Linked DNA regions of Anolis sagrei. The protein of the gene in region 3 purifies or fractionates together with the protein of the main gene of each other region. This does not show direct contact. Links are inferred from orthologs where the notes say so. Each region holds a gene or a part of one and is shown on either strand. Other genes may lie near its edges. The genes, in order: EXOC6, EXOC8, EXOC7 and EXOC6B.

Evidence for each region.
Region 1: the proteins of EXOC7 (region 3) and EXOC6 purify together in Homo sapiens (affinity purification with mass spectrometry; 4 studies listed by BioGRID and IntAct, counting the BioPlex papers as one, with this or other methods). This does not show direct contact. The link is inferred for Anolis sagrei from reciprocal best matches to the Homo sapiens genes EXOC7 and EXOC6.
Region 2: the proteins of EXOC7 (region 3) and EXOC8 purify together in Homo sapiens (affinity purification with mass spectrometry; 4 studies listed by BioGRID and IntAct, counting the BioPlex papers as one, with this or other methods). This does not show direct contact. The link is inferred for Anolis sagrei from reciprocal best matches to the Homo sapiens genes EXOC7 and EXOC8.
Region 4: the proteins of EXOC7 (region 3) and EXOC6B purify together in Homo sapiens (affinity purification with mass spectrometry; 3 studies listed by BioGRID and IntAct, with this or other methods). This does not show direct contact. The link is inferred for Anolis sagrei from reciprocal best matches to the Homo sapiens genes EXOC7 and EXOC6B.

Annotation. Positions count from the first base shown.
Region 1 is NC_090023.1:186,661,453-186,669,234, reverse strand, and holds the start of EXOC6 (exocyst complex component 6), read left to right. Parts: upstream 1-4,781; 5' UTR 4,782-4,921; coding exon 4,922-5,043; intron 5,044-7,782. UniProt on the Homo sapiens protein: Component of the exocyst complex involved in the docking of exocytic vesicles with fusion sites on the plasma membrane.
Region 2 is NC_090021.1:60,851,363-60,858,616, forward strand, and holds the start of EXOC8 (exocyst complex component 8), read left to right. Parts: upstream 1-4,239; 5' UTR 4,240-4,337; coding exon 4,338-5,897; intron 5,898-7,254. Other genes in the region: DNA-dependent metalloprotease SPRTN, read right to left, coding at 453-581, 2,570-2,669, 3,828-4,129. UniProt on the Homo sapiens protein: Component of the exocyst complex involved in the docking of exocytic vesicles with fusion sites on the plasma membrane.
Region 3 is NC_090022.1:118,826,091-118,833,516, reverse strand, and holds the start of EXOC7 (exocyst complex component 7), read left to right. Parts: upstream 1-4,423; 5' UTR 4,424-4,545; coding exon 4,546-4,605; intron 4,606-7,244; coding exon 7,245-7,310; intron 7,311-7,426. UniProt on the Homo sapiens protein: Component of the exocyst complex involved in the docking of exocytic vesicles with fusion sites on the plasma membrane.
Region 4 is NC_090025.1:2,905,258-2,913,134, forward strand, and holds the start of EXOC6B (exocyst complex component 6B), read right to left. Parts: upstream 3,017-7,877; 5' UTR 2,908-3,016; coding exon 2,804-2,907; intron 1-2,803. UniProt on the Homo sapiens protein: Component of the exocyst complex involved in the docking of exocytic vesicles with fusion sites on the plasma membrane.

The DNA.
Region 1 (7,782 bases), on a different chromosome or scaffold from region 3:
ACCGCTTCGGTGGAAAGGTAGTGGCGCTCCATGCAGTCATGCTGGCCACATAACCTAGGTGGTGTCTATGGACAACACCATGCAGTCACGGGAAGGTAAGGGTGCTCCATGCAGTCATGCCGGCCACATGACCTTGGAGGTGTCTACAGACAACACCAGCTCTTCAGCTTAGAAATGGATATGAGCACCAACCCCCAGAGTCAGACATGACTAGACTTAATGTCAAGGGGACACCTTTGCCCTTTATAGTCAAAAAAAGCCCTGAAAGCTAACTAATTCTCTATGTTACAAAAATTGAAAAATATTCTGTTCTTTGTTTAAAAGCGTGTTTTTCCTGTTTAATTGTGCAGCACATACTTTGAAAGCATCTGTTATACTCCAGAAACTGTGTTTTTGTGTCCGCCACAAACTATATTGAATTGGTTGAAACTCAATGAGATATTCATTGAAAAATGATAGCAAAATATGCTGTGGGATGTCCCGCCAAAACAAAGTTTTTGCAGTTTAATAAACTTTGTCCATGTTTTTAGGCTAGACCCAATTAGGAAATGACATTTGTAACCCGGGAACAAAAATGGTGCTACATATGTAGTGTTATCTACTGCCCAAATGTTAAATTGCATAAAACAATACCTCTACTGCAAGTTTCCCTAATATCATCGATAATTTGTATCCAAAATGCTATCTCTGTAGCCCTGTCAGTGTCTTTCTCAAACCCTATTTAGCTGGAATTATAATCTGTTTCCAATCATTCGGAGCCAAGCATTTGCCTTTCAAAAACATTACATTTCCAATAGATTATCTTAACTGTAATAGACTGCTCCACCTTCACATCGAATAACAAATACCTATATATTCATTTTGGAATGAAGTTCAATACATAGGTTATACATTCAGCATTTTCCCATTGGAAGTTCTATAGTACTTTGAGTATTTATTTATTATTGGATGTAGTTATTCAATTTCACTGCGATTGTTTTGTCAAATTCAGCAGTTTTTGGCTTCATGGCATTACTGCATGTCAAAAACATAAATTTCCCGTCAGTCTTGCAGTTAGGTCATATCCGTCTTAATTTCAATAATATTGTGGGGAACATGGCCTTTTAATGGTAAGGCATATTACTTCACTTATATTATATTTGGCTGATGGCTGCATTGCCCCATATTTTTATTTTAATAATACTCTTACAAAGATGTACTTCTAATATCATCATGAACTTGCTGATCAACACATGTCATGTCGACCTTTGTACATTTAGTGGCATTTCCTCCAACATGATCTATTTCCTTGGCTTGTGTGTGGAATTTTTTTTTAAGCAACAGGAAAGATCTGAACATGGAAAATGTGACTTTATTTTAATTGGCAGTGGGAAGTCAGAATTTGATATCAAAGTTAAGAAAAATGCCATTTTTAAACCAGCCCAAACTTTTAAAAGCCCAGGAACATATATTTCATTTTTATGAGAAATTTATATTTCTGTGCAAGTGGAGTAAAAAAAGTCACATTTCCGACCAGAAGGAAACCATCAGCCAGCAAAAGGCATATTTATTTATTTACGACCCTTTATATGCCGCCCTTCTCATCCCGAAGGGGACTCAGAGCGGCTTACAAGATATTATATTATTAGCATAGTATAATATCAGTATTAAATATAAGTAATTACTGCTATAGACACCGTGAAGAAGGCATTCTATTCTACTTCTATTGCAGCCTGTCATGTATTATGTTCTGCAGTTGATGGTGGTTGGTGGTGGTAGGCCTAGCAGTTGGTGATGGAAGGGTTAGTGTAAGTCTTAGTTCTAAAGGGTTGAGTAATCTGTAAGTAAGAGTTCATGGGTGAAAACAATTAAGGGTGCAAGCATGCAAGAGATAGGTTGCAGCTGGGTGTTTCTGGATATAAGGATTTAGCCTTGGGACTGATCTTTGGGAGAAAAGTATTTGTTTTATTTTGGTGGTAGATGCTGCTGGGTTTCCCCCAGGTTTGTGGATTTTCAGTGTCCTGACCTGAACCTTTGGAATCCTGGAACCTAGAACCTTTGGACTGGATTTTGACTACAGTATAGATCCCTGGACTTTTGTTTATTGAACTCTCAGCTTTTGATCACTGGACTACAGAGTTTCTTACTCCTTTTGACTACAGAGTTATCTTGAACCTGCAACAGTGTTTGCTGATTTTGTTTTATATTCTGTGGCTGAGTGCAATCTTTATGTTTTATGTTTTGGACTATTAAAACAGCCAGAAAATAAGTGCTGTTTTGGTTAAATTGCTTGATACAAACTGGATGATTTTTTGATTCACCTCTACCTGAATAAGGCAGAGCCCTGGCATCATGACACGGCCGTTAATAACAGGCCCAACAAACTTTTCTGAGTGTTGAGAGGGCTCTTGAACTAGGGTACCATTCTAGAGAATTGTAGGCCATCAATTTCACTCTAATTGTGACTGTGAGACCTTCGTGAGTTATTCTGCATCCAAGATTGGTTGGAGCCATGCGGTTTTGGATTCCACTATTAAAGCAATTCCCATGGATGCACCCACTGCATCGTCTGGTCTTGTTTGCACGGATTCATTTCAACTTGTGTCACCTGAGGATGCTGACAGAATCATTGGAGAAGTGAAAGCCACCACCTGCATCCTACACCCTTGCCCTTCGTGACTGGTCAAGCAAAACAAGGAGTACGATCTGGAACAGGGAACTAATTAATGCCTTGCTAGATCAAGGCCTGGTTCTTACTGCTTTGAAGGAAGCAGTGGTTAGACCCCATCTAAAAAACAGTCCCTGGATCCTACAATCTTGGATAATTATAGGCTGGTATCTAATTTACCATTTATTAGTAAGATCCTGGAAAGCGGGTGGCTAAACATCTCCAGGGATTTTTGGATGAGGTTGATTATCTGGGTCAATTCCAATCTGGCTTCAGACCAGGACATGGAACAGCTTTGGTCACCTTGGTGGATGATTGTCACAATGCCAGGGCTCTGCCTTATTCAGGTAGAGATGAACCAAACAATCACCCAGTTTGTATCCAAAAGTTTAATTAAAACAGCACTTACTTTCTGGCTGTTTTAATAGTCCAAAATATAAAACATAAAGATAGCACTCAGCCACAGAATATAAAACAAAAACTGATAGCAAATGCTACACCGTAGTCAAAGGGTCCAGTTCAGTGGTCAAATGCTGAAAGTTCAATGAGTACAGTCCAGGGATCACGAGTCTATACTGTAGTCAAAAGCCAGTCCAAAGATTCAAGGTTCCAGGATTCCAAGAGACAAGTCAGGATACCAAAAATCCAGAAACCTGGGGGGAAACCAGCAGCATCTACTACCAAAATAAGACAAATACTTTTCTCCCAAAAATCAGCCCCAAGGCTAGGTTATTATATCCAGAAACACCCAACTGCAGCCTATCTCTTGTATAAGTAAAGGTAAAGGTTTTCCCCTGACATTAAGTCCAGTCGTGTCCGACTCTGGGGTGTGGTGCTCATCTTCATTTCTAAGCCAAAGAGCCAATGTTGTCCATAGATACCTCCAAGGTCATGTGGCTGGCATGACTGCATGGAGTGCCATTAACTTCCTGCCGGAGCAGTAGCTATTGATATACTCACATTTGCATGTGTTTGAACTGCTAGGTTGGCAGAAGCTGGGGCTGACAGCGGAAGCTCATGCTGCTCCCCGGATTCGAACCTGCGACCTTTTGGTCAACACGCTCAGCAGCTCAGCGGTTTAACCCACTGCGCCACCGGGGGCTCCATCTCAGGTTGTTAATAGGAACAGAGCTCACAACTCCTCTGTTGCGCCAGCTCCACTGCTGCCAGTTTGCTTCTGGGCACAATTCAAAGTGCTGGCTTTAGCCTATAAAGTCCTAAGTGGTTCTGGATCTGCTTACCTATCCGAAAGTATCTCTCCTTATGAACCATCTAGGACACGAAGATCTTTTGGAAAGGCCCTACTCACAGTCCCACCTTCCTCACAGATGTGTTTGGCGGGGACAAGACATAGGGTCTTCTCAGTAGTGGCCCCTCAATTGTGGAACGCCCTTCCCAGGGATATAAGAGAGGGCCCCTCCCTCCTGACTTTTCGAAGAAAGGTTTAAACCTGGCTTTTGAGCAGGCTTTTGCTAATCCAGCATAATTATACGAAATCATGGAACGACCTGATGATGCAATTGAATAACGATTTTAACAAGGAGGCGCTCACAATAATGGTTTTATGGCTTTGTACGGTTTTTATATTTTTATATTTTACATAAATGCTTTTAATGGTATTTTATGATTGTTTTATTTCTTGAGGCATCAAATGTTGCCAACTGTGAACGCCCCGAGTTGCCTTCGGGCTGAGAAGGGCGGTATACAAATATGGTAAATAAATAAATAAATTTTATTGATTTATGTTTTATTAGGTTTTACCTTTTATGTATAACTGTTTGATGGATTTTATATTCTGGTATGCTCTATGCCACCTTGGGTCTGCGCTGTGGAGAAAGGTGGGGTAGAAATGCTTCAAATAAATAAATAAATAAACAAACACTATAACTCCTAAAATGCCAATCTAACATGATTGATGGCCCTACCAGGTGGAGGTGGGTGGGAGTTGCAGTCTAACTTACCAACATTTCCAGGCTTTATGGTTATATAAAATAAACATCCAGCATTTTGATTGATTGCTTCTTGGCTGCATTAAAATAGGTAGGCATGAAACAGATCTGGCGTCATAACAAGTCTGGGGTCATAAGGAAAAGGCTACTTATAGCAGGCTGGATGACAACAGCTGTGTCACACTTGTGGGCAGAATGTCTTCAGGACGCCCAATGTCAAATCAGGATTTGCTTTCTCCTTTTGCTGGTGAGAGAGTCTTTCATTCCGGTGATATTAAAAGAAGACGGTCCTCCCTTTATGCCTGGAACAGTTTAGTGCTTTACCATGGCTGCCAATGCCAGTCCTAACACAGATGGATTTTGCATGGAAGAAAACAAAGATAATGTGTATGAAACAGTCCTTGGTGAGATTAAATACTTGGAGCTGCCCCTGGGAATCACTTTAGGGTGAGTATCTCCTGCCAAGAATGTACTTTATGCTCCTTCCGCTGGGTTTGTTGTAAAATATTCAGAGCAATTATACTATATTTTCTTATTTTAATAAAAACAGACCTAGTTATAAACCAGCCTGTACAGGTTGACATCCCAAAGCTGAAAATGCATTCTTTGTTTTCAATTACTATGATGAAAAGCATTTAAGTTCAGGATGTTAAGAGGCTGTTCTTAAAAAATACTTTTCTCATTCCCATTTCTGATCAAAATGTGTGATGGAATTATTTGTTTTAGGTCTATCTTTGTGGTGGTATGGCTAACAGGTTTTTACTAACAGCTGAAATGTTGATTTATGACGATATATTTATATCTTCCGTTCTTATGCTAAAGAAACAAATAATGCAGTTGTTTTTGGGGGGAAGGGGTTGCACTTCATATACGAATTGCCTGTTAAACATATGCATGCTTCTAGATAAGTCTACATAATTAAATACAGAATTATCTGATATTTGTAATAGAAGATTAACTTACCCTGTGTTAAAATATAGCAATTAGCAAACAAAAAAAGGCAAATCTCTTCATGATTTTTTTTTGTCGTAATGCATATCAGATTACATGGTATCATATTCGAGTTTATTTATAGTAGCTCATGGGAGTATTTTAAAATAACATAGCTGTACTTGTGTGTATTGATTTACGAAGAAGATTACACTGCAGAAACTATTAGTATAAGACACTTGATTTGTCCTGTAATATCTGTGCATCATCATATAATGTAAATAAGGTGATGAAGCATTTTTGTACCAGGTTTTCATAAAGTTGTCATAGGGCCCTTCCACATAGCCATATAACCCAGAATATCAAGGCAGATAACTCATAATATCTGCTTTGAACTGGATTATCTGAGTCTATACTGCCATATAGCCCAGTTCAAAGCACATAATATGGGATTTTATAAGAAATAAGAAAGGGTTGCAGCAGTTATTGTTGCCAGGGTGGGCATGCTTCACTGTTCACTTTCAACATATTTCTTTTCTGTTTCCTCCATTCCACTTTTCCTTGGAATTGTAGTTTGGTGAGATGCCAACACTTTTTGACAGGGAAAGCTATATTTATTTATTTATTTATTTACTGCATTTGTTGACCGCCGTTCTCAGCCCTAGGGCGACTCCCGGCGGTGTACAACATATAAAAACAGTTTACAATAAGGCAATAACACAACAAATATCAACAACAACAATAATACAAATTACACTAAATCATCCGCGCCGTCTCATCTTGGAATCATAAACCAAACTCGTAATCCATATTCCGTTCCAGTCGTCATTGCCAATTGTTGTGGCACTTAGTCAAACGCCTTCTCAAATAACCATGTCTTTAGGCTCTTGCGGAATGACATAAGGGAGGGCGCCTGTCTGATGTCTGCAGGGAGGGTGTTCCACAGCAGGGGCCACCACCGAGAAGGCCCTATCCCTCGTCCCCGCCAGACGTGCCTGTGAGGCAGGCGGGATCGAGAGAAGGGCCTCCCCAGACGATCTCAAGGTCCTCGTGGGCTCATAGGTCGAGATGCGGTCAGAAAGGTATTTGGGCCGGAACCGTTTAGGGCTTTGTAGGCCAACACCAGCACCTTAAATTGGGCCCGGTAGCAGATCGGCAGCCAGTGGAGCTGGAACAACAAGGGCGTTGTGTGCTCCCTGCGTCCCGCTCCTATAGATCTTGTAAAACTACAACTCCCATGATTCCATAGCTCTGAGCCATGGATGTTAAAGTAGTGTCAAACTGCATTAATTCTACGGTGTTGATGCACTTTGGGACTAACATTTGGTTATAAAATACATTACAGCGACATAACAGCTAAAGTAATGTGAAATACATTGTGTGTGTGTGTGCACAAGCACACACATACATTCTTATTAAAAACATAAGTTTAGAACTGCTTAAAAACATGTAAATGATAATAATGAAGATATTCATTGCACAGTGCCTTGGTAGTCCTGGTGAGTTGAAAGCCGATAGGCAATTATTGAAATAGAATACCAAGCCGTCACGGAAGAAGTCGACGTTCTGTTTCCGCAACCAGCAACTAGCGTCTCACAGTTGTCTCAATGTCTTCATCAGAAGCATAATGATGTCCCCACAGATCTTCTTTCATTATCGGGAACAGATGGAAGTCAGACGGTGCTAAATCTGGACTGTATGGAGGGTGTCATATGGTGGTGAGATCCAGTCTCTGAAGTTTCAAGTCTGTGTGCTTTAATTTAAGGAGTCAGCATCCTGAGTACCCATCGTGCACAGATCTTCCGATAGCCAAGCAAAGCAGTAATGTGACCCACACGTTCTTTTGAAATGCCAACTATGCTTGAAATTTCTCTCTGAGTGATACTATGATCATCCTGAATCAATCTGTCAACCTTTTGCTTGTGAAACTCGGTGGTTGCTGCTACAGGACCTCCAACTCTTTGTCACACAAGTCAGTTGTTCCCATCTCAACATCTTTAAACTTACTTGCCCAATGACTCACAGTACTCACATTAACACAATCACCATAAACAGCTTGAAATCTCTGATGAATATCCTTTGAGGTGACACCTTCTGCTGTCAAGAATTCACTGACTGCATGTTGCTTAAGTCGCATTGACCATCTGCCCAGGGTTCCATACTTTGCACTTTAACAATACAACTGTTCAATGCTAAAGCTTCCTGCCAAAATAGAACTGTAGAGGAGAGTCTACTGAACAAACCAGTAACTGCCAC
Region 2 (7,254 bases), on a different chromosome or scaffold from region 3:
TTGTCAGCTTACCATGGGCAATGACTTGAACACTATGTGAACACAATCCTGGATTAGACAAGTCTCAGGCCTGATTCAATATGGTTGTTTTTGCACCCTGGACACCAAAGTTACACAGGAAGACAAGGCTCTATCAAATTAATGGTTCCATGGGAGAATTGGTCCAAAATATATATCATTTGTGTATTCATTCTGGTCATAATACTTAAAAGTTGCAATCTAATAGTAAGCTTCATACAGTTAAATGACAAACTGTATAGTGTTAATATAAACAGTATAGTGTTGTTCTGTGCCTTCAAGTCACTTCAGAATTAGGATGATCCTAAATCTAAAGTTTAGGGCGGGGTCCAGGTAAATTACATTGGAGGGCTGCATCCAGCCTGCGGACCTTAGTTTGGGAACTAATCTGTTGTACTTCAAGCATTGAGAAGTGCCTTACAAATAATGTTTACCGTAATATTTGTGCCAGTTAAGCGATTTATCCGATCCATGTGTTTGCAGAACTCCGGGCCATGAGAATCGTGATCTTTGTCATTATAAGTGACAAACAACAGAGCATGAATCATTTCATGTAAAAGAGTCTGAAATTTTTAAAAAATCATTGGATTAGTTGAAATGTTTATTTCTTAAGCAATAAGAAATAGTTATCTACAATTGGCTTAAAACAGAGATGGGCTGCACCAGTTTAAAATAAACACTTAAAATGTTTCCTTCCATTTTTCTCATTCTCTGGCATTGTTCGTTGTAATCAATATGGCCTTTAACTAAAATCAAAATGCTACAGCTGGCAAACGAGGAGAGGAACAAAGAAGGAGGCAGGAGCTCAAAATCACTCCCAGCTTTATAAGAAGTCAGATTTGTTAGTCTGACCTGAGAATTTGTTTGACCTGACACACAAGTCCATAAATGAGGTGGGCAAGAGTGAACACATGTCTGACTGTGACAACTGTGTGATCTACTACAGTTGGGTGAGAGATACTTCCTCTCTTTAGACTTTTTCTACACACTGGGATTGTATTACTTTAAAGGGCTTCTTAATTTTTGTCAGATCAGAAATGTTATTCTATGATTTTCCTGAAGCTAAAATGTGAGGGAATTTATTTATTTATTTATTTAAGACATTTATATGCCACCCTTCTCACCCCGAAGGGGACTTAGAGTGGCTTACAAGACATATATATATATATACAATATATTATTAGCATAGTACAATATCAGTATTATATATTACTATATTGTACTATACCATTATATTGTAATATTACTAGTAACATCACATGTAATATAAAATATATAATTATATCATATTGTTAGTAGTATTATTATATTGTATTACATTATAATATTATAAATATTATATGTATATACAATATAGTACACTACATTATATTATATTATTAGCATAGCACAGGAAACAAGGTAAAACTGTCTTCTGGCCCCCTCTCTCTTCACTCTGGCCCAGAGCAGCAATTGGTGCTGGGGGAGTGGTCCCTAACTGATGACAAATGCAGGAGACAAGATGGAACTGTCCCCCCCCCCCCTTCACTCTGGCCCAGAGCAGCAGTTGGTGCTGGGAGGAGGGGTCCCCAACTGATGACATGAGGGCTTATTGTTAATATTTTTGTTGTTTTTGAATACAACAAATTACATCAAAACAAAAAAATTCCACCGTGAGCATTTCATTTTGTAATGCTTCTCCTTCTGTAAGTTTCAAAGGTAAAAGATCTGAGAAGCATATTTCTTTGAAATCAAAGTTAAAATATTTTCAATATGCTACATGCATCACACCCACCTTACTTTTTGACAGCTGCTCAAATCACTGGATCCTCTCATTTTAGAGCAATGGTTCCCAACTTTTAGTCTGACAGGTGCTTCAGACTTCAGTTCTTATAATTCCAAACAGCTGGTAAGCTGGCTAAGATTTCTGGAAGTTGAAGTCCAAAACACCTGGAGGACCAAAGGTTGGAAATCACTGTTCTAGAGGATCAAAAATCACTTACAAAATACAGAGTACTACCTTGAGTACAGCTATGCCTCTAAACATCTAAGAACACCAAAAACATTAAAAGCAAAATACACTTTTCAGTCACAAATGCAGTCACGTTATCTAGCAGAGGGAGGGCAAATTTCATAGAATCACAGCCTTCTTAGTAACTGGTGGGAAGGAGTGAGAGAGCTGAACAACAACTCCATACAGATGACATCTGACCCCAAAACTCCAGATGATCTCTCCCAGTGGCTTCATGTAAATGTTAAACAACATAGGGGGGAATACTGATCCCTAGGGGACCCCACAAGTCAATGGTTGTGAAGTAAAGCAGTTGTCCCCCATCAACACCTTTTGGGAACGACCCTCAAGGAACAAAGATAAATGATCTGTTTGTTCTTATGTTGAGGCCGAACAAACTCATATCAAATAGGACATCAAACATAAATGCTCATGTGAGGAGCTAGATAACTATTCATTCAAGGGCCTTCTGGACATATTTGAATGTTCAGGCATGCTAGCTACAATAAATTTACTACAGTTTGTTTGATGTTTCTCTACAAAGACAACCATCAACAGTACCTCTACAAGATCCTTTCTCGGTCGCAGCTTTAGAAGGGGCTCACTAAGTCGAATGGAGCACATTCCACCACGGCCTTCATAGCAGCAAACTCCTGCACATCTAGAAAATAATAAATCACAAACAACAAACATTTGCTTTCAACTGCAACTTGGCTGTTCTGTATTCATAATGCATTAGGGTTCTTACCTTGTTTGAAATAGAAGGTTGGACGATTGTTCTCCTTGGGGGTAAATAATCAGGACTTTTCTCTTTTACAGTAATTTGTTAGAAAATTTAAGATTGTGATTAGTGCCTATTTTTTTCAACACGTTTATTGATCAACAAGGGGAAGCTGTAGCCAAATATTAGTGTGAAAGTGGATACAATCTAATAAGTGTTGTTAGAGTAATGTCAGGTTCAGACATTGGGGAGCAAAAGGTAGGCATGATATAAGAGTTAGGTGTTAACTTGGATCCATAAGTCAATACTAAAAAGTAACTTTAAGGAGATAGACTCCATGTAAAACTTATTCCAGCAACAGAAATCACCTAGGATATTAAACAGCCTGGTTTCCAGGCCTATCTGAATTCGGCTACCCACTCCTGAGGTCTTTTATTCACAAAGGTTTCCTTACTTCTGAGATTCCTCTGCTCCCAAGAAAGATGACTCTTCTAGGGCTTAAGATGCATGTATCACTGACAGTAATTGCCAATGGCTGCATGTTCTTACTTGGACATTTCCTGCATGTAGCTAGATCATTCCTTCCATAAAAGATTGCTCCAGGCACTGCCAGGCAATCAAATGCTAATCAAGGTGGTCAGCTGAAACATTCACACCTAGCTCCAGCAGACAAGAGTCCTTTGTCTCACCCTGGTCATTCCACAGATATATAAACCCTTTTTCCTAGTTCCAACAGACCTCACTACCTCTGAGGATGCTTGCCATCGATGCAGGCGAAACGTCAGGAGAAATGCCTCTAGAACATATAGCCCGAAAAAACCTACAACATCCAGCTAGTATGAGAATTCTGGGATTGTGGTTTAATCTGAAAAGGAACATTTTAGTCCAGACTTGAGAGCCAAGGGTAGTTCTGACTACTGAACTATGCCTTGGGGAGGTGGTTGGACTGGATGGCCCACGAGGTCTCTTCCAACTCTATGATTCTATTGAAAGTTTCCCCACGCCTGGGCTAAGCCAACCCCTTAAAAGAGGTAAGGACACAGCCATAAATCCGAATAAGAAAATGTGTGGGGCACAACGTGTCCCATGAAACCGTACAGCGTCATGCGGGGGCTCCACTTCACCTCCACGGCCTCCAGGGCCCCCCAAAAGAGGCTCTGGTTGAACTGCAGGAAGAGGCCTCGCACGTCCGGGCTGGGATCCAGCAGCTCCCAGCTCTCGTCCACCAGCGACAGCGGCCGTGCCGGCGAGGTGAAGGCTGGGCCGGCCTTGAGGGAGGCCCGTGCGCGGCCGCCCTCCTCCGCGTTCCACTCCTCTTGGAGCCGCAGCGCCAGCAAGAAGTCGCCGTCCATTGGAGCACAGCCTTTCGTTGAGCCCTCCGCCTTCAAATCCCGGCGCATGCGCCGTAAAGCCGAGGGTTTGTTGTCTTCCTGCCTCGGAGAGAGTCGCGCGCCTCGCGTCACTGCGGCGCGGCGCCTTGACGTTTTTTACGCAGCGGCGCACGTAAGCGGCCTTCCGGTCAGAGGCGGCCCCTGCTTCCGGCGCAGCGACGCCTTGCTTCCTCTCCCTCCTCGGCGAAGGCTGGTCTCTGGCGGCTCCGGCTCGGCCATGGCGCTGTCTCTGGGTGAGGTGGCTCCGGGCGGCGGCGGCGGAGGAGGAGCGGGAGGGAGCCGCTTGAGGCGGCAGCTGGAGTCCGGGAGCTACGCGGCCGAGGAGTACGTGAAGCAGCTCTCGCAGCAGTCGGACGGCGACCGGGACTTGCAGGAGCACCGCCAGCGCATCCAGGCCCTGAGCGAGGAGACGGCGCAGAGCCTGAAGCGCAACGTCTACCAGAACTACCGGCAGTTCATCGAGACGGCGCGCGAGATCAGCTACCTGGAGAGCGAGATGTACCAGCTCAGCCACATCCTCACCGAGCAGAAGGGCATCCTGGAGGCCGTCACCCAGGCGTTGCTGCTCCTCCAGGCCGACCGCGACGACAGAGCCGCCGGGGCTGCCTCCTCGGACCCGCACGCCAACCCCTTCCTGCCCCTCTCCGCCAAGGAGGCGGCAGCCAGCGAGGAGGGCCGCCAGCGCACCCTGACCACCCTCCTGGAGAAGGTGGAGGGCTGCCGCGACCTGCTTCCGGAGAGCCCCGGCAAGTACCTGGTATACAACGGGGACCTGGTGGAGTACGACGCCGACCACATGGTCCAGATTCAGAAGGTGCACGCCTTCCTGATGAACGACTGCCTGCTGGTGGCGGCCTGGCTGCCCAACCGCCGGGGCACTTACCGTTACGACGCCCTCTACCCACTGGACGGCCTGGCCGTCGTCAATGTCAAGGATAACCCGCCCATGAAGGACATGTTCAAGCTGCTCATGTTCCCCGAGAGCCGCATCTTCCAGGCCGAGAACGCTAAGATCAAGAAAGAGTGGCTGGAGGTGCTGGAGGAGACCAAGAGGAGCCGCGTGCTGAGCGAGAAGCGGAGGCTGGAACAGGAGGTGCCGGCAGCCCGTGCGCCTCCCCCAGCCCCTCCAGAGGCTACCAACCCCTTCGATGAGGATGAGGAGGAAAGTGGGGAAGGGGGGACCCCAGAGGAAGAAGTGGTGGATCTCTCCCTGGAGTGGATTCAGGAGTTGCCTGAAGACTTGGATGTCTGCATCGCTCAGAGAGACTTCGAAGGGGCGGTTGACTTGCTGGATAAGCTGAATGAGTATCTAGGGGATAAGCCCTTGACACAACCAGTCAGGGAGTTACGAGCAAAAGTGGATGAGAGAATCAGGCAGCTCACCGACGTGCTTGTGTTTGAGCTTTCTCCAGATAGGTCACTTCGAGGTGGGCCCAGAGCAACCCGTCGTGCTGTTTCTCAGCTCATCCGGTTGGGCCAGTCAACCAAGGCGTGCGAACTTTTCCTGCGGAACAGGGAAGCGGCCGTTCACACAGCCATCCGACAGTTGCGCATTGAAGGTGCCACTCTGCTGTACATTCACAAGCTGTGCCATGTCTTCTTCACCAGCCTGCTAGAGACCGCAAAGGAGTTTGAGACGGACTTTGCTGGCAACAGTGGGTGCTATTCGGCTTTTGTTGTCTGGGCTCGATCAGCAATGAGGATGTTTGTGGATGCGTTTAGCAAGCAGGTGTTTGACAGTAAGGAGAGCTTATCTACTGCTGCTGAGTGTGTAAAGGTAAGGGCCCAAAGTGATGAGATGGAAAAAAAACTGTGTTACCCTTAATTACATATCCTCTAGATCACAGCTTCATAAAACTTTGGGTCCCAACCTCAAGCGGGGTTCCCTTTGCTCAATGTTGGAGTCCAGAAACATTTGTCAGCAGTAAACGTTTTCTGAATGTCAGCTAGTGGGTGTTTTGACATTTGCACAAATCTGTTGTGCAGTGTTCACAGTAATTCTACAGAAGATGCTTCAGGTATAGTTCATAAAAAGGAAAATCAGCCTGTTTAGCAAGCCTCACAAGTGCTGATTTCTTCTCACATCTATTGATGCCTATTCTATATATTTGTGTACCCACAAAAAATTCTTAGGTCAAAAGGCGTCATGAGTGGAAACGTTTTCCAAATAGTGTCCTTGAATTTAGAAGCAACATGGAAGCAAAGTATTGAGTCATCTAGCCCAGCTTCCTGAGACAGGATATTATTTTTGTAGGCAGTTATTTATGATGGCCGTGGCTTTGTGTGGTTCACTCATCCCAATGCTCAGCATTACTCCAGTCATTTTTCCTGTTTTGCTTTCTTATGTTTTCTAAAGATCTATTGCTGTTTTTCACAGCAGGATAATACCTGTTTTTCTTGCCTTCCTAACACTAAAGAACCCCGCCCTTTTATCATTTAGTAGATGAGGGAGGACAAGTTATGTACAAACTCCCTCTGTAGCTTGGCTTTATCCCAAATGGTTTGTTCACATACAGAAGTGAGGGTGTGGCTTGCCTGCCGAAGAAAGGCAGTATGTACTGAAAAACGTAGCAGAGAATATAGGGACTAAACTTGCAAGTGGTTGCAATAGTCAGGACAACCTAGCACTTTGAGCACTTAGTTTAATCGCATCTGGAAATTATTGGATGGGTAGAATTATATCCCAACACCACTCCTTTCTCTTCAATTCTTAGCACTGTGGAGTGTGTTAAAGATTGTCTTTTTCTTATGGCTGGAATGGTGGCAGAAATAGAAATAAATGCAGAGTCATGTACTGCTTTCTGCTTTCATGGCAGGTTTCTATTTACAAACTAATGTTAAAGATTTATGGACCTGACATGGCTCAAATTAATGTTGACTGTGCTATTTTGAAATTGATGCAGAAAGCATGTTGAAATTGACATGAGACCTATCACTTTAGGTAAATTTAGTCACAATTATTTTGTTCTATTCTTGTTAAGGGAATTAGGCACAATTCAAGTTTGTTGAAGACCGGCATAGTTCTCTAAGGTGGGGGTGGGGGTTAATCTCTCCTTGAATCTCTATTTTGAGAGAAAGCAGAATAAAAATGAAGCAGAATAAAGCAGAATAAAATGAATAAAATTTTGGGTTAA
Region 3 (7,426 bases):
TGCCATCACCTTCGGACAGTGCAGACTGTTTGCTACAACAAAACCCCCAAAATAACTAGGATTTTATCCTGGAAACGACAAAATTGAAATAATATCCCAGATCCATTTACTGTCATGGCTGAGTTTGTTTCTGACTTATTCTTACTCATAAGCAATGGGTTCTGGGTAGAAATTTGCAGAATGTTGTAATACTCATAAAAATGCTTATATTATTGTAACAGGTGAGACATGATTTAAAAGTTAGCACTACATTATTATGAGCCACACTTTGTTTAAACTTGTTGTATGCCTCCCTGAATGGTATACTTGGAGAAAGGCAGTATAGGGAAACTGCATTTTCTTTTAAAGTACTTTAATGGTTAGCATCTTCTTTAAAATACAATGAAACACACATATAGGAAGAAAACCTTGAGTCTGGATGCAGCGCCTCCCTTCCCACCTCCCCCAAATGTCCAGTTCTTTTTGAATAGAAGGGCCCCACTTCTGCTCTTGTAGTTTGCTGGTTTCTCTCCATGGCTTTAAAGAGGCCAGCAGTGTGGCCAGAAACAAATTTCCGGTCCTCTCTAAATCTCCTCCTCTCCAGCTGTTACTTGTTGCTGGGCTGCTGGTTGGCAAGAATTTGGCTCTTCACCTTTATCTTTCAGAGAATGTTTCTTCAAGAAGTGGAAAATGTGTGGAGGGCTGATCCCTCTCTCCCGCCTCATATCTCTTAGAGTAATGACCATGGTGCCATGCTTTAGCTGAAAGAAATGTGCTTCAACAAGCGACACAACAATAGCCCCTATTTCTTGGTTCTCCTCTTGCCCACTTTCAATCTGTAATAAAACACTTAAATTCTTAAGGTGTGGTAGTGACCAGTCCCCCCTCCCTCGTTAGCCTTGAAAACATGCAAAAACAACAACAACAAAAACCCCCAAACAAACCCAAAATCCGTTGTGCGGTAAGATAGCCCAAAATGACATCTTTTCAGCATCTGTGCCCATGTAAGTCCTGAATGATGCCATCAAATGAAGAAGTCAGACACAAAAGAAAGAATCCAAATGCCCAAATTTTTTTCCTCTCACACATAAGTTGAAGGAAAGGTAGCCTTGTGCCCTGATGTTACCTGAGTTGGCACAGGTTGTAAAAGAAGAATATGGTCTACCAACCTAGAGTAGAGATATAAGGTAAAGGACACTATAAGCAGTTTCATCTCCAAAGCAGTTTTCTCTGCTGCTACAAGTTACATATAGGAAGATACAAGAGCCCAATCTCAATTTTGCCTATGCACATAAAAAACAACAGCTCTGCAGAGGACAGAAGAGTGCTTGTCAGGTTCCAAATATGAAAGGCTGTCTGTGCCTAATTGTTGGTAAGTGACTTATTGACCCTGGAAAATTGGTGAGTTAACTATGGAAAAGATCAAATTACCACAGATTGCTTGGAGTGGGGACAGGAAGGGACTGAAATCATAGTCACCACGGGCATTAAAAGCACTTTATATGATGAGCAGGTTACTGAAGCTGCAATCCTATACACCAGTGGTTCCCAACCAACTGAATTCCCAGTTTTTTGTTAGTTGAATGTTTGTAACTCAGAGACTGGCTGTAATAGGAGGCTTGGGGAGCACCGTCCAATGCTATGATTCTGTAACTAAAAATCCCACAATCTACAGCCAAAATAGCCAATGGGGACTCTAAGCCAAGTCAAATCCAACAGTGGACAAGGCTAAAGCAAAAAGTGGATGCTGCCTGCCTTTTCTCCCCTCTTTCCTCCATGCCCAAAAGGGAGTCCAACCGTTCATTTTTGGCAGATATCTGAATGGCTTGCTTGCAGAGAATTTTTGAAGGCATGCCAAGACTCACAAAACTTATGGCTGGGGCTTTTGAGCTCCTCTGATGTGTAAGACCATGCTACTAATCTACCATATTATTATTATTATTATTATTATTATTATTAAACTTTATTTGTACCCCGCTAGCATCTCCCGAAGGACTCGATGCGGCTTACAAAGGCCAAGGCCTCAACACACAATATAACAATACAGAACCAAAGCAAAATAAAAACAATTCAGCAATATGCACAGTTATCTATGGAAAGCCTGCTGCACCCAACAAAATCAATTCAGTTACTGTGTGCTGTCCATATAGCGCAAATAGCACAGTGCTGGATTTAGAACAAATGGGACCCCTTGCTAGTTATGAGGCCTCTTCCTTCCTTGGGCCTTTAAGGAGGGAGGCCAGGTAGGTCTACACTGCCTTCCATAGACTATCAACGCTATCATTATGTCTGGAATCGGTCCAAAACAGAACACCTTAAAATTTAAAAATGCACCACATAAGTAAAATTGACTGTAAAAAATGTTTGACAGGAAGATGGGCCCCTCTGGCCAACGGGTCCCTGTGTTTAAGCACAATGGTAAATCTGGCACTGCCCGCACACCCATGAAATGACTGATAACATCCCATAGTTTAATTAACTCCATTTGAGTCATTCTCCTCACTTTGCCTCAGGCCTTATTCTAGCTGGCACCTTTCTTTCTGGCATCTTTACCTTGACTGGATCTCTAAACCAGTTGGGGAACCAGTTATCTACATAAGATGTGAGTGGTATAATACATAACCTTTGTCAATGGGTTCCTGAAGCAAAAGAGCCCATTAACAATAGTGGAGGGCTCAGTCTCCTTGAAGCGGATATGGCATGGGGCATCCAGGAGTGGCCCACCCACCCACCGCCAAGGGATGAGGGATTTATTTCAAAGGGACCTGCATGGCTTGCAGTGTCTCCAGCTGAAAAGGCCAATGGAATCCCTGCCAGGCAGGCAGTACATTTCCCCATTCTCCAGCACATTTTTGTGGTGCATACTGCTGTTTGCTAAGTGGATTAGGACGCAGGACAAAGTATTTACTTTTATCTGAGTTGCATCAAGAATAGCTGGCCCCCCACCTGAAAGGAATGTCCCAATTAAATTACAAATGACATGTCCTGAGTGTAAGAATTGGGGATTGGCCAAAGCAAACAAAGCATTCAACCTTTACTATTTCCCCCTCAAGATCAGCGCACAGGGACATCTAGTGGATAAGATATTTTGGATAAAGTTTTTTTAAAAGATGGACACTGCATTTCACTTGTTTCTTACCACATTTGTAGAATAAATAAATAAATAAATAAATGGTGGGATCACAAGTCTGAAAAAGTTACACAAAATCAAGACATCAATCTATTCCGGGACTTCTGAATTCAGACTGACAGAGTTTTGGAGCACAATACCCCTGACCTCACAATCCTGGGAAAAACAAAAAACAAAGTATGGATCACCGATGTTGCAATCCCAGGTGACAGCAGCATTGACGAGAAGCAACTGGAAAAGCTGACACAATATAAAGATTAAAAGATTGAAATGCAAAAACTCTGGCACAAGCCAGTCAAGGTGGTCCCAGTGGTGATCGGCACACTGGGTGCAGTGCCTAAAGATCTTGGCCTGCACTTAAAAACATTTGGCACTGACAAAATCACCATCTGTCAGCTGCAAAAGGACATCCTACTCAGATCTGCACACATTATTCGCTGATACATCACACAGTCCTAGACACTTGGGGAGTGTCCGACATGTGATCAAATACAAAAGCCAGCATGGCGAACTTGTTTAATGTGTTCTAATCTTTTTGTGTGTCTAATAATAATAATGATAATAATAATAATACATCAAACTGCAAAAACTCTGGCACAAGCCAGTAAAGGTGGTCCCAGTGATCTGGGACCTTGGCCTGCACTTAAGCCAGCATGGCGAACTTGTTTAATGTGTTCTAATCTTGTTGTGTTTCTAATAATAATAATAATAATAATAATAATAATAATCTTTATTTACATCCCACCACTTCTCCCCAAAACGACTTGGGGCAGCTAATCATCATCATAATAATAATAATAATAATCATCATCATCATAATAATAATAAACTTTATTTGTACCCTGCTACCATCTCCCCAAGGGACTTACAAAAGAAGAAACACAATAGAGTAATAGTAAACATACAACCAAATCAAACTTAATTCATAACATACTAATAAAATTCAGAAGGCTGTTAGGAATTGTGGGAGTTGAAGTCCAAAACACCTGGAGGGACAAAGTTTGCCCATGCCTGCTTTACAAGGTCTTTAGCCTTCTCTGCAAAAGACTGCTGGTATTTCATCAAGCTAAAAATCTCATGGTAGTTAAAGGAGTGTCAAACCGCATTTATTCTACAGTGCAGACACACCTTCAGGGATGGTTATTTTAGCACATTCCTCTCCTTGCGGGTCTCCCACTAGGGGGCGTTCGGCGCCTCGCCCAATAGGCTTGTGACATGCGCAGTAGCACTCCCTCTGACACTAGCTTTGCGGGTTCGACAGATTCGGAGGGCGCTCTTCCATTCGCCGGGGAATTTTCCCCTGCCTCTCTCAAGATGGCGACCTTCTCGGACCGGAAAAGGCGGGGAATGAGGCGGAAGTGGAGTGAGTGTTGACAGGAGCTGGAAGGCGCTTCAGCGGAGGCCTTGGAGCAGTCCAGGGCCGGCCTCGGGTCGGGATGATTCCCACGGAGGAGGCCTCGGCCCGGAGGAGAGAGATAGAGGAGAAGCTCAAGCAGGTGGGGCCTCAAGGAGGAGCAGGAGGCTGCAGCGCCATCAGCCCCCGGCCACGGCATTGAGTCATGAGGCTATACCAGGCCTGGGCAAACTTGGGCCCTCCCTCCAGGTGTTTTGGACTCCAACTCCCACCATTCCTAACAGCCTCAGGCCCCTTCCTTGAGGGGGAAAAGGAAAGGGCCTGAGGCTGTTAGGAATGGTGGGAGTTGCAGTCCAAAACACCTGGAGGGCCTAAGTTTGCTCAGGCCTGGACTATATTGTGTGTGTGAGGTGGAGGGTGTGTGTGTGTGCTTGTTTTCAGTCCTTTAAAGTATAACACAGGATTTGAATATATTTTAAGTGTTATGACTATGTTTAGGCAGATTTTTCATAATAGCAGCAGACTCTCAGTTAACTGGTACCAATGGGGATCAATATGAAAGTAGCTTCTGGTTGCTTGAGAGTTATTACTAAGAGCAGGCCTCAGTAATACTATGCCCCATACAATGCCATCCCATAAGCTCTATAACTGGATTGGTGTTAATATTGAAACACAATAATTGAAAGCATATTGAGACAGAAAGGGCAAATTTATTGTAACACAGTTTTATTGTTTTATGATATTCTAAAAACAGCATTTTTAAATTTAAAGTATTATTTCTTTTCTTTTTCTTTTTGTTGCTATCTGCCTGAGTGTTACAATTAATTGAGTTATTATTATGATTATGTTTATTTCTGATTAAAATGTTTAATTGTATGGTTTTAATTGTATTTGTTTATTTTTGTATTTATATGTATTTTCATAAAATTGCGGCCTGTTGTAAAGCCGCCCTGAGTCCCCTTTTAGGGTGAGAAAGGCGAGATACAAATATGTGAAATAATAAATAACAAATACCCCGCTTTTTCTCTCCATACGGCTACTCAAAGCGGATCACAACTAAAAGCATTGCAATACAGTCTAAAAATATACAAATATACAAGTATTAAAACAGTATTAAACATCATAAAAAGCATATAAAATCACAGCAGCCCCTGATGACCTTAAAAAACCTTCTTCTTTAAAAGCCTGCCTGACTAAAAAGGGTTTAACTTTCTGTCTGAAGGGGACTGTTCTGGCTTTCCTGGGGAGAAGGGAGTTCCAGGGTCGAGGGGCCGCCACCAAGAAGGAAGGCCTGTTCTCTTTCCCACCAACTGGACTTGAGATAGAGGTGGGACTGAGAGAAGGGCCTCTCCTGAAGATCACAGGGCCCAGGCAGGTTCATACAAGGGGATGTGGTCGGTCAAATAGCCTGGACTTGAACTGTCTAGGGCTTTAAAGGTCATAACCCGCACTTTGAATTGTGCCCGGAAACAGATAGACAGCAAGTGCAGCTTCTTCAACAGGGGGTTGTCAGCTCCTTGCAGCCAACCCCAGTGAGCAACCTGGCTGCAGCTCTTTGGAACAGCTGAAGTTTCCCAGCACTCTTCAGAGGCAGTTCCACGTAGAACGCATAACAGTAATCCAGATGGGATGTTACAAAGGCATGGACTACCGTGGCGAGATCTGGCTTCTCAAGGAATTAGCACACAAGTTTTAATTGTGCAAAGGTCCTCGCAGCCACTTTCAACACATGGACCTCCAGATCCAGGAGAACTCCCAAACTGCGGACCTATGTCTTCAGGAGAATGTGACCCCGTCCAGCACAAGCTGAATCCCTAGTCGCATAAGGCTGGAATGACTTGAAGGCACCCAGAAATAATAGAAGGTAGCTTTGAGTATAAAGGTGCCAGGATATACAGTGTAGTTGTTGAATCACAGAGTTGGAAGAAACCTCCCAAGGGCCATCCAGTCCAACCCCATTCTGTCATGCAGGAATATACAATCAAAGCACCCTGACAGATGGCAGTTCAATAAAGAAATAAATGACAAAAATGACAAAACCAATAGAAGTTGCACCTCTGGAGGATATCCAGAAGGCCCAGGTTGCCCTCCTAATTTGTTTGTTTGTTTTGGTATCCTGTTAGGCTTAGATGATCTTTCTGCTCTGTAATGGGATGTGTGTCCTCTGTTAATAGTGGGTGCCCCCCCCCCCCCGATTTACAAACTGCACCAAAAGCTAAAACAAGAAGAGAGCCAGAGTCCTATGCACAGTTATATGGGAGTGCATTTACCAGCCTTGCTTCCTAGGAGCTTAATGTGTTGCAGTTAGGACCAGGGTTTAAGCTCAGAGCACAGTGTAAAGTATCTTATTCTTTCCCAATTATTATTCCACAGGTGGCACCATAGGAGATGTCACATTGTCTTGCACTCCTTGCATCAGCATTTAAAAGCTTAAAAAATTACATAGTGGGCTCTTTGTATGCTCTTTGTCTCCAGAAGCCCTCCCCTTCCTCGTACAGTAGACAAAGAGTAGGACTTTCCTGGTGAACATCTGGAAAAACTATTGGCACACAAAATACTCTGTTTTCTCTAGCACTTACAGGAGAAGTACTAGGACTCACATGAATCCTGAAATTACACCAGAAAACCTCTCTATCGGGGAGGGGGGGGGGGAATTGACAGTGTTTCATTGTTACGGCTACACAGTTACTGAGAACTTGCAATTTTGTTAAGAATTTAGAAAGGTAATATTTGAAATTTCAGGACACAGGTTAATACTTTCCCCTCTGTTTGCACTGACAGGAAGAAGAGACATTGTCTTTTATTAGTGAGAGCTTAGAAAAAAGTGACCAACTCACCAAAAACATGGTAGGTTTGTCTGTTTTTTTTTTTTAAATCAAGTATGTGACATGTCTCAGTTGTGCTTTACTTGACGATAATGTTAACTAATCTTGCAGTAGACTGTGCTGAAGGAAATGGTTCCA
Region 4 (7,877 bases), on a different chromosome or scaffold from region 3:
CCTGTGGCTTCCTCTCACATATTTATGCATATTTATCATATCTCCTCTCATCCTTCTCTTCTTCAGGCTAAACATGCCAAGCTCCTTAAGCTGCTCCTCATAGGGTTTGTTCTCCAGATCCTTGATCATTTTAGTCGCCCTCCTCTGGACACATTCCAGCGGATGACTAAAATGGTCAAGGGTCTGGAGAACAAGCCCTATGAGGTTGGTTTCATCGAGACATTAGACTCCTATTGATCTGGGTTAGAATTGGATTGGACTTTTCTGCTGCTGCATGACAGCTTTGGCTAACATTCAGCCATATATCTTACTATCATCAAGCCATGGCTATATTACTTTCCTCCATCCAGACACTGGACTCTTTTTGATGCAGCTTAGAGACGCATTGGCCTTTTCTGCTGCCACATCACACTCTCGACTCACATTCAGTCATATATATCGCTATTGTCAAGCCATAGCTATCTTACTTTTCTCCATTCAGACACGAGACTCCTCTGGATGAAGACTAGAATCACATTGGCTTTTTTAGCTGCCGCATCACACTGGGATCCACTATGACTCCGAGATCCCTTTCGCATGGACTGTTTTCAAGGCCATCATCTATCTCTAAATATGTACATATAGATGAGGCACAGGTAAATGTCGGCCCTACTGGCTGTTTGGAACTGTGGGAGTTGGAATCCTAAACACCTGGAGGGCCCAAGTTGGCCCAGGCCTGATATTGACAGTTCAATTCTTCTACCTAAAATATAATACCTTAGAATAGCATTGGCCTTTTGAGCTGCTGCATGACAGCCTTGGCTCACGTTCAGCTATACTATCATCAGGCCATGGCTATGTTAATTTCCTCCATCCACACATTGGACTCTTACTGATGCAGCCTAGAATCGCAATGGCCTTCTCTGCTGCTGCATCACACTCTTGGCTCACGTTCAGCCATATATATCACTATTGTCAAGCCATGGATATATTACTTCCCTCCATCCAAACATTAGATTCTTATGGATGCAACCTACAATCACATTGGACTTTTGAGCTGCTACATCACACCCTTGGCTCACTTTCAGCCACACTATCATCAGGCCAAGGCTATGTTACTTTCCTCCATCCAAACATTAGATTCTTATTGATACAGCCTAAAATAATCACATTGGCCTTTTGAGCTGCTGCATGACAGCTTTGGCTCAGGTTCAGTCATCTATTTTACTATAATCAGGCCATGGCTTTATTACTTTCCTTCATCCAAACATTCTTATTGATCCGGGTTAGAATTGCATTGGGCTTTTGTGGTGCTGCACCACACCCCTGGCTCACGTTCAGCCACACTATCATCAGGCCAAGGCTATGTTACTTTCCTCCATCCAAATATTAGATTCTTATTGATAGAGCCTAGAATCGCACTGGCCTTTTGAGCTGCTGCATCACATCCCTGGCTCACGTTCAGCCATATATCTTACTATCATCAAGCCATGGCTATTTTACTTTCCTCTATCAAGACATTAGACTCTTATTGATGCAGCCTAGAATATTTATTTGTTTGTTTATTTTATTTACACCATTTCTACCCCGCCCTTCTCACCCCCGAGAATAATCGCATTGGCCTTTTGAGCTGCTGCATGACAGCCTTGGCTCACTTTCAGCCATACTATCATCAGGCCATGGCTATGTTACTTTCCTTCATCCACACATTAGACTTTTATTGATCCGGGTTAGAATCGCATTGGCCTTTTGTGCTGCTGCATCACACTCTTGGCTCACATTCAGCCATATATCTTACTATAATCAGGCCATGGCTATGTTACTTTCCTCCATCCAAACATTAAATTCTTATTGATGCAGCCTAGAATAATCGCACTGGCTTTTTGAACTACTGCATGACAGCCTTGGCTCACGTTCAGCCATATGTCATACTGACATCAAGCCATGGCTATATTTCTTTCCTTCATCGAGACATTAGACTCCTATTGATCTGGGTTAGAATTGCATTGGCCTTTTGAGCTGCTGCATGACAGCCTTGGTTCACATTCAGCCATACTCTCATCAGGCCAAGGCTATACTACTTTCCTTCATCCAGACATTAGACTCTTATTGATCCAGATTAGAATCGCACTGGCCTTTTGTGCTGCTGCATGACAGCCTTGGCTCACGTTCAGCCATATATCTTACTATAATCAGGCCAGGGCTATATTACTTCCCTCCATCCAGACATTAGATTCTCATTGATCCGGGTTTGAATCGCATTGGCCTTTTGTGCTGCTGCATGATAGTCTTGGCTCACGTTCAGCCATATATGTTACTATAATCAGGCCAGGGCTATATCACTTTCCTCTATCCATACATTAGATTCTCATTTATCTGGGTTAGAACAGCATTGGCCTTTTGTGCTGCTGCATCACACCCTTGGCTCATATTCAGCCATATATCTTACTATCATCAGGACATGGCTATGTTACTATCCTCCATTCACACATTAGATTCTCATTGATCCAGGTTAGAATCGCATTGGGCTTTTGTGCTGCTGCACCACACCCCTGGCTCACATTCAGCCCTATATTTTCCTATTGTCAAGCTGCCAAGCTATGACTATATCACATTTTCTGAGTGGAGGTAATGGGAAGCAATGTTTATTATACAAATATATAATAAATATTTGTATTTATTTATTATACAGTATAAATATTTATTATACAAAATAAAGTCAATAAATAGTAAAGTAAATAATAAATGTGTTGTGGGGCTGGCAGGGTGAGGGGCCAGGAGGGCGGGCCTCTTGCCTTCCTGCTTCCCCTTCCCTTCTCCTCACCGGAGGGTGGGCCCCAGGCAGGCCGTGTCGGTGCTGTCCACCTCCCGCAGGATGCGCTCGTGCTCGGCCGCCGCCTCCAGGCTCTCCCCCGCCGAGGACGCCATCGGAGCCCGAAGACAGGCGAGGCGCGGCCGGGAGTGAGCCTCTGAGGGAAATCAGGCTCCGTCTGGGCCTAGGCCGCGCCCCTCCGCCTGCCCGTAGCAATGGCAACCGCCACGCCCCTTGGAGACGCCGCCGCTGCGCATGACGGGAAGCGTAGTCCGGAAGAGAAACAGCGCCCTCTCACGGGCCGACACTCACGGGGTGAGAGGGAGTGACAACAAAAGGAGGAGCGAGATGCGCGCGCATCGCTCCCGCCAGGCCACGCCCCCCCTTGCTTAGGGAGGGAAAACAAAAAAGAGGAGCGAGATGCGCGCGCATCGCCCCCGCCAGGCCACGCCCCCCCTTGCTCAAGGAGAGAGGGAAACAAAAAGGAGGAGCGGGCTGCGCGCGCATCGCCCTCGCCAGGCCACGCCCCCCTTGCTCAGGGAGGGAGGGAAACAAAAAGGAGGAGCGGGCTGCGCGCGCATCGCCCTCGCCAGGCCACGCCCCCCCCTTGCTCAGGGAGGGAGGGAAACAAAAAGGAGGAGCGGGCTGCGCGCGCATCGCCCTCGCCAGGCCACGCCCCTTTTCTCAGGGAGGGAAGGAAGCAAAAAGGAGGAGCGGGCTGCGCGCGCATCGCTAGCTCACCTTCCCTTGCACTCTTATTGCTGCGTTCCCCGCTGCGACCGGTAGGTGGCGCGTGAAGCCTTGCTTTCCATTCCCGATTGTTGTTATTGCTGCTCCTGCCTACCTGCCTTAATAGTAATAATAATAATTGTGCAGGTACAGCTGTACCAGGAGCACCAATTTTGTTTGCTTTGCATTGAATGTTTTTTGCAGTCCTAAGTTTCAAGGACTCGGCAGATAGGTAGCTTCTTTTGGCTGCAATCATAGGGCAAGCCACCTGTCAACAGAATCATAGAATCCAAGAGTTGGAAGAGACCTCCTGGGCCATCATCCAGTCCAACCCCATTCTGCCAAGAAGCAGGAATATTGCATTCAAATCACCCCTGACAGATGGCCATCCAGCCTCTGTTTAAAACCCTCCAAAGAAGGAGCCTTCATCACACTCCGGAGCAGAGAGTTCCACTGCTGAACGGCTCTCACAGTCAGGAAGTTCTTCCTCATGTTCAGATGGACCATTTAAGGTGGAATCGGGTGTCAAACAGGGATGTGTTATTGCCCCGACTTTATGTCGGGACGCAATAATGACCAGGCGGGAGACAGGGCGTCAAAGTGAATGATGATGGCTTTTTTATTGTTGCCCAAGCAAAGCTTATATGGGTTCTGGTGCTCTTCAGCAAAAGTCTGCCTAGCGACAGTGGGTGATTATATAATGGCCAGGTGATTGGTGGAACTCTCAAGGGTGAGGTAATCTACAGGTGAGGTCAGCTATAGGTGATGTAATCCTTCCTGCCCTCAAGGGTAATGTCCTTACATGGTCAGTGGGGTAGGAACCGTGTGTGCATCTGGTGAGTACGGTTTGCCGATGCTCTCCAGTGGCAACACCCTGCCACTACAACTTTATTCTCCATCTTCATCGCTATGATACTTCACCTTGTTGATGGGAAGCTTCCCAACGGAGTGGAAATCATCTCTTGGACAGATGGCAAGCTATTCAACCTCAGCAGACTGAAAGCCAAAACCAAGGTTACAACAACATCTGTTATAGAACTCCACTATGCTGATGACAATGTCGTCTGTGCGCATTCAGAAGATCTACAAGCGACCTTCGCAGAAGCATACACGAAGCTTGGCCTGTCACTGAACATCGGGAAAACCAAAGTGCTCTTCCAGCAGACACCAGCCAACCCTTTCCAATGCCAGAGATACAACTTAATGGTGTAACATTAGAAAATGTGAACCATTTCCGCTCCCTTGGCAGCCACCTCTCCACCAAAGTCAACATCGACACCGAAATACAACACCGCCTGAGCTCTGCGAGTGCAGCATTTTCCCGAATAAAGCAGAGGGTGTTTGAGGACGGGACATCCGTAGGGATACTAAGGTGCTTGTCTATAAAGCTATTGTCCTCCCAATCCTGCTCTATGCCTGCGAAACATGGACTGTCTACAGACGTCACATGCAACTCCTGGAATGATTCCATCAGCGCTGCCTTTGTGGCCCCATTTCTTAAGCTTGGCTCTGCATCTCGTGGTGCCAGAACACAGCCTATTCAGCACCTTCCAAGTTGCCCCGTCTTCTGTGTGCTTGGGAGAGAGTCTCTCATTTGGTTTCAGCCATTGGTTGAGGTTCTGGGTTTGAGCCTGCCACTTTTGGACTCTCGCTTGCTGAGGTGTTCCAGCAAGTGTCTCTGTGGATCTTAGAAAACTATTTCTTGATTTAAGTCGTTGGCATGCTGGCTGATACCCAAACGGGATGAGCTGGGGATGTCTCTGCCTTGGTCCTTTCACTATTGGCTGCTACTTCCCGGCGGATGTCAGGTGGTGCAATACCGGCTAAGCAGTGTAATTTCTCCAGTGGTGTAGGGCACAGACACCCCGTGATAATGCGACATGTCTCATTAAGGGCCACACCCACTGTTTTAGCATGGTGAGATGTGTTCCACACCGGGCATGCATACTCAATAGCAGAGTAGCAAAGCGCAAGGGCAGATGTCTTCGCTGTGTCTGGTTGTGATCCCCAGGTTGTGCCAGTCAGCTTTCGTATGATATTGTTTCTAGCACCCACCTTATAAACAGTCTTGTAGTCTGTTTTTAAGAAAGAGAGGAACCCTCCAAACGTAGGAAATCAATCGGATTCTTTATTCTTTCTGCAGAAAGTAGAGAAAACCATCTTGGAGAATAGTTCTGCAAAGTTTAGTTTTTGCTGAAGCATGTAAAGCAGAACAGGAATATATAGCCTTCTGTATTTACAGACAGCGTTGGCTCATCCCACTCTGTGCCTGTTCAACTGAAAATGTTCATATAGCGAGAAATGAGCATAAAATTAGGCATGGATAAATCTATGTAAATGATGCCCTTTCACCCAAATATTGTTGTTTGGAAAGCAAATGAATGACTGCCTTTGAAAAGTATCCTTTCTGCAGGGAATGAGAGCCTCTTTGTTCCATCAAAGGATGGATCTACACTGATACATAATCAAGATGATCAAAGCAGATAATCCAGATGCTCTGCTTTGGATTGGGTTATATGAGGTTCCTCCTATCCTGCCATATAATCCAGATTATCTGCTTTGATATGGGTTATATGAGTCTACAGATTATCTGGACTATTCTGCTTTGAATTAGATGAGTCTACACTGCCATAGAATCCAGTTCAAAGACACTCTGAATTTTATAGGGCAGTGTAGAAGAGGTTGAGAAGGGCGGGATAGAAATATTGGAAATAAATAAACTTGCCTCACTGCAAACAGAACCTCTGAAAATGCTAGTCACAGATGCAGGCGAAACATTAGGAGAGAATGCTGCTGAAACATGGACATAAAGTCCAGAAAACTCACAGCAACCATATACTCAAAGTGTTGACTATAAATAACGAAGCAGTGTCTCAGTCCGTGTGGCACTTTTTTCGTGTTCACCCAGCAGGGTGATTTGGCCAAATACACCTGTTGAACAACCTCGTTGTTTCTTGTGTCTGATTGGACAGAGATGCTGGAGGTTTTGGGCCATAATGAAAATACACTACTTATTTTTTTATACCTGCCGCATTAAAAGAACATTTGTACCCTTTCTAAACTTAGCATTTCCCTCCTGTTTCCTACCATCAGTTCATACATAGCACTGGTTGCGCTGCACTCGCCTCTGCCATAGAGACCGACTCTTCCTCCAAACAGAGGAGGGCGACTAAAATGATCAAGGGTCTGGAGGACAAGCCCAATGAGGAGCGGCTTAAGGAGCTGGGCATGTTTAGCCTGAAGAGAAGGCTGAGAGGAGATATGATAGCCATGTATAAATATGTGAGAGGAAGCCACAGGGAGGAGGGAGCAAGCTTGTTTTCTGCTTCCCTGGAGACTAGGACGCAATGGAACAATGGCTTCAAACTACAAGAGAGGAGATTCCATCTGAACATAAGGAAGAACTTCCTGACTGTGAGAGACGTTCAGCAGTGGAACTCTCTGCCCCGGAGTGTGGTGGAGGCTCCTTCTTTGGAAGCTTTTAAACAGGGGCTGGATGGCCATCTGTCAGGGGTGATTTGAATGTAATATTCCTGCTTCTTGGCAGAATGGGGTTGGACTGGATGGCCCATGAGGTCTCTTCCAACTCTTTGATTCTATGAAACAGCAGCTTCCTTTGGACAGCTGGGACTCTGCCTTGGCCAAGAGAGGCACTGACCACTCCCTTGGCCAATTATTATTATACAGTTATCTGGAAAACCATGTGACGGCAAACAGAACCTCTGAAAATGCTAGTTACAGATGCAAGCGACACATTAGGAGAGAATGCTGCTGAAACATGGCCATACAGTCCAGAAAACTCACAGCAACCATATGCTCAAAGTGTTGACTATAAATAACGAAGCAGTGTCTCAGTCTATGTGGCACTTTTTTCTTGTTCACCCAGCAGGGTGATTTGGCCAAATAAACCTGTTGAACAGCCTCGTTGCTTCTTGTGTCTAATTGGACAGAGATGCTGGAGGTTTTGGGCCATAATGAAAATACACTACCTATTTTTTTATACCTGCCGCATTAAAAGAACATTTGTACCCTTTCTAAACTTAGCATTTTCCCTCCTGTTTCCTACCATCAGCTCAGACATAGTACTGGTTGCGCTGCATTCGCCTCTGCCATAGGAACCGACTCTTCCTCCAAACAGAGGAGGGTGACTAAAATGATCAAGGGTCTGGAGAACAAGCCCAATGAGGAGCGGCTTAAGGAGCTGGGCATGTTTAGCTTGAAGAAGAGAAGGCTGAGAGGAGATATGATAGCCATGTATAAATATGTGAGAGGAAGTCACAGGGAGGAGGGAGCAAGCTTGTCTTCTGCTTCCCTGGAGACTAGGATGCAATGGAACAATGGCTTCAAACTACAAGAG